Oryctolagus cuniculus: one gene and its partner. The protein of the gene in region 1 interacts with the protein of each later gene in a pairwise test. Links are inferred from orthologs where the notes say so. Each region holds a gene or a part of one and is shown on either strand. Other genes may lie near its edges.

Region 1 (4,395 bases):
CTTCTCTACACTACGGGTGCTTGAAAATTCCCTCGATAGAAAGTTACAAACACATTCCCAAGTAGCCATGCAAATTCTACCTTTAAAAAATGTTTTTGCCAAAAACCTGGTTGAAGTGTTCTATGAAGCAACACCACATCAAGGACTTGGCTGAGGGAAGAAACACAAGAGGTGAAAAGGGTAAATGAAGGCAGCAGTCACAGGAGTCATGTAGAACTGGCGAACCCACCTGTGGAAATGGGTCTCTACCATGCTACAGGAACCAGCTTCCAGCAAGAAACTCGTGGCCACAAGACATCACTAAGACTTCTTCATACAAGGACAGAAATTTTTTTTTCTTTACTATTTTCTCAAATCTGGTTTGCATTTGGTTCTAATTGGCCAGGGAATACCCTAATCCACAGGTGATTTTTCTCCAGGGCAGGGATGAAGGCCTTTGCGCCCAAACCGCCCCAGCGAATCTGGAAATCTAGGTACGCGCAGTGCACCTTCAGCAGACAAGACCGGTCACCTTCGGACAGGGGTAAGTGGAGTTGTTTTCCACCCAGAAGATAACCCATAGCCGAATACTCCTATCTCGCAGTCATTTTTCCTTTCCCTAACTTACACTGTGCTTTTCATTCCATGTGAGTTCATTCTAGTTTGGAACCCTCACCCTATGCACTAACTTGAAGCTAAATAAAACCCTTTAACCTTCAAATACGCAAGTGACCTGATTTTACCAATTAATTCTGACCTCCCCCAGAGCAAATTCTGTTCCTAGAATTCCAGAGGAGAAATTTCTAACACCTGAGTTTAAACAAAACCTTTAAAAAAGGAAAAAGAAAAAACTGTTAAAAAGCCATCTGCTCTTGGGTTGAAGCTAGGAGGGCCTAGCAACAACTGAGGCTAAGCCCCCTGCCCCACCCCAGGAGACCAGGAAGGTCACTTGGTATAAAAACAAGCCTAACCTAAAGAAAAATGACTTTCTAATCCACCACCAAGACGATAGGAGCGGAGTAAAGAAACACTCTGACGTCGGCCTCTCCACAGTGCGATTTGTGGTGGATTTTTCCCAAATCAAAGTAAAATTTAGAAAGCAGCATTTTCTTCGAAGATGCTATTCCGTTGCTCCTGGATTGAAAGGTACACAGCAGTCTGGCTCCCTGCTCCATGCACACCCCTCGACCCTTGGCTTCCCACGCCCGTGCCGTCCTGGCAAACTGCCCTGTTACTAAGAGTGCTCCTCTCTGTGGGCCAGATGAGACAACACTGCTTCCTTTTATCACTGGACCTATCTCAGATTGAGAAACACTATGTGTGTTGTCCAAAGAATGGTGGTACCTGGGTGAATGTTCCTCTTCCCTCCCCCTCCGGTGCTAGTCTACTCCGCCTCACTTGTTTTCAGGAAACGTGTTCCACAATTTCGCGTGTCTCTTTCCAGACCACTCTACAAGTGCAAATCACTCAGAACTGCCAGTGGAAAACTGGCTGGACTGGCAACTGAAGGAGACGGAGCAACAATTCTATCCCAAAGGAACACGCTTGCACCAACATCATGGTGAGGGTTCCCATATTTCTGCCCATCTACCTATACCTGTTTCCAAGATAAATTACCAACCAGGGAGTCACTTCCGGCTCTGTGAACAAAAACATGCTTTCTTTCCGGAGGCACTTGACCCCTCTCTCAGGAGCACTGAACTGTTTGTGTTAAGAGGATTTTGCCATCAAACCATAGTCGGGGAAAGGAAGGTGGTGGCTTGCGGTTAGCACAAGGAGAGAATTTCCAGACAAGCAGATGGTCCGTCCGACAGTACGCCTGTCCAAGAAGTCAAGGGCAGCCCTGCGAAGCGAAGAGTTTAGACCGTACACTTGTCCTAGTCTTTCGTCCCACCTTCCCACACCTGCCACGCTCCGCAAAGCAACCGCCACACTGCAAAACACAGCTGTTTTGTTTCTCTAAGAATCCCATCAGCCTACAACGAAGGGCAATCGTGGGTGTGTCCAGGTGTGTCTCAGGTCAAACACAACGTTCCCAACATCCTTTCCTGTCTGGATTTCGGAGCACCTCTGTGCCTTAAAATCGGACCCAAAGCCCCAGCTGCTCGGGCTTGTATCACCAAGAGCAGCCACTATTAACAGCCTCTTAACGCGGACTTTCGCACAGAGGAGCTGGACGGGGTTGGGAGTCAAGGCCGGGTGGAGGGGCCAGAAAGGAACCCGGCTGACTTCTGGGATGAACCCCGAAGTTCGCGCGCAGCCCGGCGAAGGCGACGGACAGCTCACTCCGGCTGCCCCCCGCGCCCGCGCGCCTCCTACCTTGGACCTCTCCTTGACGTAGTATTTGCCCAGGCGGCTTCCGCAGTACAGGACCAGCCTGTCGATGAGGGACAGGAGGAAGCTGATGGCCTCGCAGCCCTTCTCGTTGCCCCCGATCCACGTGATCTGGTCGCCGCGCAGGTGCCGCTTGGAGACGCCGGAACGCGGCCCGGCCAGCTGGCCGTCCCGCAGGGCCCCTTCACGGTGCAGCTGCTTCACGCGCTCCAGCACGCAGTTGCCCACCACCTCGCCCAGGAAGTTGTCCAGGTAGCAGAAGCCCACCTCGTGCAGGCAAGGCACGATGTAATCCACGGCAATTTTCTCCAGATCCTGGCTCATGATGTGTGACAGGGGCATCTCGCCCGCAGGACGCAGGGCAGGGACACCCCACGTGCGCACGGGGAGCGGGGAGCGACCCGCCGCAGCGCCCAGCGGAGGCGCAGCGAGCGGAGCGCTGGGTTCAGGAACCTGCGGCGGGCACTGTCCGGGAGCCACCGCGCCACCGAGCCACCGCGCCACCGCGGCACCCAAGGGCAAGGGAAAGTTGTCCGCAACTCGGGCAGGAAGGGCTCGCCGTTCAGGGGCCAGCCCGAGTTGTGCGGGGCTCCGCGAACCAGTGCTGGACTGGCCCAGAGAGGAGTCCGAGGGCCCCTTTTGAGGATGCGGAGCCACCACTGCGGCGGCGGAGGCGGCGGCAGCGGCCTGTGGCTGGGAGCGGCTGAGGTCCGGCCCATGAACCGGCGGACTCGACGCGTCACGGGCCCCGCCCCGGGCCCACCCCGGCCCCGCCTAGTCCCCGCCCAGGGACCGCCCCCGCTCCGCCCTCCCCGACCCCGCCCATTGCCCCGCCGGGGCTGCCCCGCCGCCAGGGATCCCGAAGAGCCGGTCGCCAGTCTCACTTGTTTGTGAGCTGGAAATTTTCCAATGCTCTCTATTTGCATAGTGTTTTGCATGAAATCCTAAAACAAAAGTGAAAACCTGGATCCGCACTCTTACGAGTGAATGAAATTAGGAGCGCGGGGTATTGCCACGGTCCGTGCTGGCCACCGCACAGGCTTTTGAGCAAAATAACAAACGCAGCAACAAAGGCTCATAGGTTCTACGGTGGTCTCGTTCTTGCCCTCCCAAGTGCCTTTCCTTCTTCCTTCTCCTTGGCTCTGACACGAGCCAGCGGGCTCAAGCCGCCGGGCGGGAGGAGCGCAGTTGTAGCTAGCATGAACACAGTAGCATGGTCCCTTAGCTCCTACTCTGTGCTCAACTTAGAGGGATGTGGCCAATGAAGAATCGCCGAGCCATAGCCGATCAGGCACAGCAAATACTGCATTCTGCTTTGCTGGGTGTCTCCATCCACTTACCTTCCACGGTTTTAGTAAAACACGATGTTCTGAAATTCTACCTGCAAAATCAGTGACACAGCTATGTAATATATGGGCATATTCCTCGCCCTGTCCCCCAAGTCCCTCTTCTTTCTCCACATGCAGTTGTATCCCCACGCCAGGGAGAGAGGGACAGACACAACCGTAAGTTGTCGTAGTGGCCCACAGATTAGCTAACTGCATTGTGGGTTTTTTGACCCTGTCCTACTGAGCACTAGAAATCAGAATGGGTGTGTGTGTGTGTGTGTGTGTGTGTGAAGGGGAGACACATATATTGCATGGAAAGCCATGTCCATATTTTTGGTTTCACCTTAGTGTGAGCTTGGCTTCTTCACTGCACAACAGAAGGAACTGGCTTTTCGGGTATCGTGATTGTGTGCACAGTGTCCTGCAATTCTGTCACTTTTTCTCCTTCGTCCTGGCCTCTGCGGGAAGAAACGCAGTGAGGGCACAGGGAGAGGCTTAGGGGTGTTCTGGGAGGAGCTGTCAGCGTACAGGGTTTAAGAAACTTTGGTGAAACTTCTCACACTGAAAGGAAGTCCTCTGCCAAGTCGCTGAGTAGCTGACACTCCTGGTATGAATGGTCAGCAGGAGGCGCCACTCCTCGGAAGCTTAAATGGGTCAGTGCTCAAGGAGCTGTCACCTAAAATTCCAGGGCAGGCGCCCATCATCCTCCATCCTCCATCCACCCCTGGTATGTGATAGGTGCCTCATAAATGCT
Region 2 (3,806 bases), on another chromosome or scaffold:
ATCTTTAAAAAAAATTATCTGGGGATGCCAATTGAAACTGTATTTGTGAGAGTATCATGATGTCTTGCAATTACAGTAAGTTACTCCAGTTTTTTTAAAAAGTTAGATGGTAAATGCATCAAGTTTAACAAAATATGGGTGATGGAAACATGGGGGATTATCATGCTGCTCTCTCTGCTTTTGCATCTGAGTTTTTGTTTTGTTTTTTTTTTTTTTTCATAAGAAAAGGTAACATAAGCATGGATACATTAAAAAGTAAAAGCAAATTGCTCTCACAAAAAAATACAGGGATCCCTGGGTGAGGGTAGTGCTGCTGCCCCCTAGTGGTCATTACCTGGATGCCAGCGGTCACACATCTAAAAGGAATCCTCCAACACACTTCATGAAGGTAAAACCCAGCTCTCCTCCTGAAACTGCTGTCCTTGCAGGATAGACGGACAAGCTCCCTCAACTTCAGCTGTAGCTCATGCCACGCTTCCTCTAACCAATGACCAACGTCCTCTTGTGTTAAAGAAACAGGGTGGTCATTTGACATTGCGGTTAAGACAGCTTGAGATACCTGTATCCCATATCTAAGGCCTGGATTCGAGTCCCAGCTCCACTTCCTATTCCAGTTTCCTGCTAATGCTCATCCTAGGAGGCAGAAGGGGATGGCTCGAAGCGTTTGGATTCCACCACCCACATAGGACACCCCCATCGAGCTCCAGACTCCTGGCTTCAGCCCAGCCCAGCCCCAACTATTGCGGGCATTGGGTGAGTGAACCCGCAGATGGAAGACTCTCTTTCTCTCTGCCTTTCAAATAAAATGAACTTTTTTTTAAAAAATTGATACGTAAATATAAACAAGAAATAAGGGAGAAGAGAGAACATCACCATTCAGTAAATAATATCAGGATTCCATTCGCCCACCCAGCTCCAAACGCACCCTGCTGGGAGGAGGACGAGGACTTCTCCAGCATGGATTTGTAGAGGTTGCGGAAGGACCAACTTAGATCCTGGAAGTTGATCTCTGAATAGGAGAATTTGAAGTCGTGGTTGGTGTTATAGAGGGGAGGGGCGCCCTCGGCACCTTCTCGGCCTGCTGCCACTGGTCCGCCATCCACAGATCCCGTGCCCTGCAGAGAAACCGGGAGACTCGGTCCGTATCCACGTCCTAGCTGAGGGAGTGATGCGAACGACCCTTCAGTGGTCACCAGGCACTCCTGCCATCCTCTTCCTCCCCTCCTGACCGCGCCATAGCCCGGCAGCATTTTCTCATCGGTCCTGATCCTGAATCCAGCCTCCCACCCTCCCCCCACACCCCTGCCTCCTCAGCTCCCTACCTGGCTGTAGCTGGCAATGGATGTGGGGCTCTGAAGAGACATCTGAGGATTCCCCTCAGGAGACAGTGAGGCTTCTCCAGTCCCTGGAACGCCTCCCCGGGGGCTCTTGCTTGCTTCCTGCTCTGGTGAGTCTTGGGACAGCTGAGGGTTACAAAGGAAGGAATCCGTAAGTGCAGGCAAAGCATCCTCGCAAGACCCCTGGGTCCACCTCTGCTGGAGCCCAGGTAACCCAGGAAGAGAGTGGGAAGGAGCAGCTGGTTCAGAAACCGCAACTCCTGGAGAGGTGGGACCTTACCTCGTCATCTGGAGGGTGCCTTCTCTTCCGGGAAATGTCAGGACAGGTGTCAATCGTCCAGTAGGAGCCCTGGAAGGAAAACCCAACCCCACGGAGAATGACTGTTACATACAGAAGTTCCCCTGTTTAGAAACGTAGCCTGGGGGGAAGATTCACACCCATGTGTCAGTCATGTTAAGAACAGGGCTGGACATTCGCACAGCACCCTGAGCGTACCCAGAATGCCTGAGGAGTAAATCTGAGTACCCGCAGAGTATGCCAAGGTATGCCAGTGGCCCAGACACAGGCCTCTGGGGCAGGACTATGGAAATGGATGAGCTGGAAATGTCCAGATGTGGCCAAAGGTAACCCATCCTTTCCCTTGTGGTCCAGGCAAATCCCTCTTGGACTTTAGCATTTACATCTGCCAGATGAAGAGAAGGACCCGTACCTTCTCCCTTACGAAGGTGGAAACCCAACGATTTTTGTGTAGAAAGGATTCTAAAAGATTATTAAGTCTACTTTACCATAAATATTTCTATTTAAAGTTTACAAAAAAAAAGATTTTACAACCTAAGGGGGGCCCACGGGCTTGACAACAAGCTCTTCCTTTGACAAAAAAATAAAGCTGCTTCTCAATTAACATGATTTCCTCTTCTGGGTAATTAAAAAAGCCACAGGACCCGGGCCGTCACCTACTCAGCTCTCTTTCCTGCTCCTCCCTGCAAATCTGATAGCAGCATCTCACCTTCCCAGGGTCATCCCGAGGTCTGGGCACTTTCCGGAAACACTTGTTGAGGGAAAGGTTGTGCCGAATTGAATTCTGGGGAAGCAGAGACGAAATTAGACCTCAGCACTGAACAAAGCAGAAGTGTTTCCAATAGGATGCAGAGGGAACACAACAGAACATAGCAGCATACTATAAAGTCCAAGTATCCAAGGATCTTCAGCACCCCTTATTTTTTTAAGATTTATTTTATTTATTTTGAAAAGCTGAGTACAGAGAGAGAGGGAGAAACAGAGAGAGAGAGGTCTTCCATCTGCTAGTTCACTCCCCAAATGGCCACATTGACTAGGGCTTGGCCAGGCTGAAGCCAGAAGCCAGGAGCCTCTTCATAGCCTCCTACATGGGTCCAGGGGCCCAAGGATCTGGGCCATCCTCTGCTGCTTTCCCTGCATATCAGCAGGGAGCTGGATCAGAAGCAGAGCAGCTGAGACTCAAACTGGTGCCCATTTGGAATGCCAGCACAGGTGTCAGCTTAACCTGCTATGCCACAGCACTGGCCTCTTTAGCACCTCTTAACTACACTGATGGAGGGAATTATTTGTATCAGATAGGAAGAGTGATGACACAGGAAAAATGCAGACATTAAAGTGATGCAAGGTAATGGCTTCAAATTTGATTAGCAGGTGCTTCTGAAAAGCTGATTACATAGTCTTTGAACCTGTCTACCCGACTGACGACAGGAACATAAATGCTTCAAAATCACTCTGCCCATTCCTGAAACAACCCTACCAGTAGGAAAATAGCAATTTTAAAAACTATTTAAATAAAGTATAACAAAATGTAAATTAGGAGTGAAACAAAGGCACCAATTAGCTTTGTTTTCTCGGTGGTGCACAGAGTGGCCACACACACAGGAAAAAGGGTTGTGTGTATGTGTTGGGTGGGGTTGGAGGCTGTGACCACTAGCAGGGACATAGGGACGCATTTCAGAAAGTTCAGGGAAAATAGAATTAAAAGATAAATTTTGGTGCAAAAAAGAAATGTTGGAATCCATGTACTTAGTTTTTTCATAACATGCACCTTGCATGAACTGCCTGCAGACACCTGCTGTGCATGGGTTTGCAAATTTTTCTGCACCAAAATAAACTTTGCCCTTAATTCCATTTTTCATGAACATTTTGAAGTGCCCTTGTTTTTACAAAGGGGAAACTATGCTTTCACTAGTCTCCAGCTGCATCATACGGTCTGTATGTCAACAGGTGATTTATGGAGAGAACATTAAATCCCCATTCCTACTCCACCATTGGCAAACGAGTGGCTGCTCCAGTTGAGAACACCAGCCTGCCTTCTTTGCTTGGAAAAGAAGCCCCTTCCTCCTTCCTCTCCAGCCAAGCAATGCAATCTCTCACTACTTGCTTAGTGGGCCAGCTGTTGGTAAAGGACCTGATCGTATTATTTTTCTTGGTGTACAATTTTGTAAAAG

The links.
Region 2: the proteins of EGLN3 (region 1) and FOXJ2 interact in binary tests that used the Homo sapiens proteins (3 or more experiments, as listed by UniProt). The two-hybrid records come from large-scale screens. The link is inferred for Oryctolagus cuniculus from reciprocal best matches to the Homo sapiens genes EGLN3 and FOXJ2.

Annotation. Positions count from the first base shown.
Region 1 is NC_091443.1:41,509,976-41,514,370, reverse strand, and holds the start of EGLN3 (prolyl hydroxylase EGLN3), read right to left. Parts: upstream 3,049-4,395; 5' UTR 3,033-3,048; coding exon 2,826-3,032; exon of another isoform or gene 2,779-2,825; coding exon 2,299-2,778; intron 1-2,298. UniProt on the Homo sapiens protein: Prolyl hydroxylase that mediates hydroxylation of proline residues in target proteins, such as PKM, TELO2, ATF4 and HIF1A. Target proteins are preferentially recognized via a LXXLAP motif.
Region 2 is NC_091440.1:101,908,338-101,912,143, reverse strand, and holds part of FOXJ2 (forkhead box protein J2), read right to left. Parts: intron 2,420-3,806; coding exon 2,345-2,419; intron 1,687-2,344; coding exon 1,618-1,686; intron 1,464-1,617; coding exon 1,323-1,463; intron 1,116-1,322; coding exon 926-1,115; intron 1-925.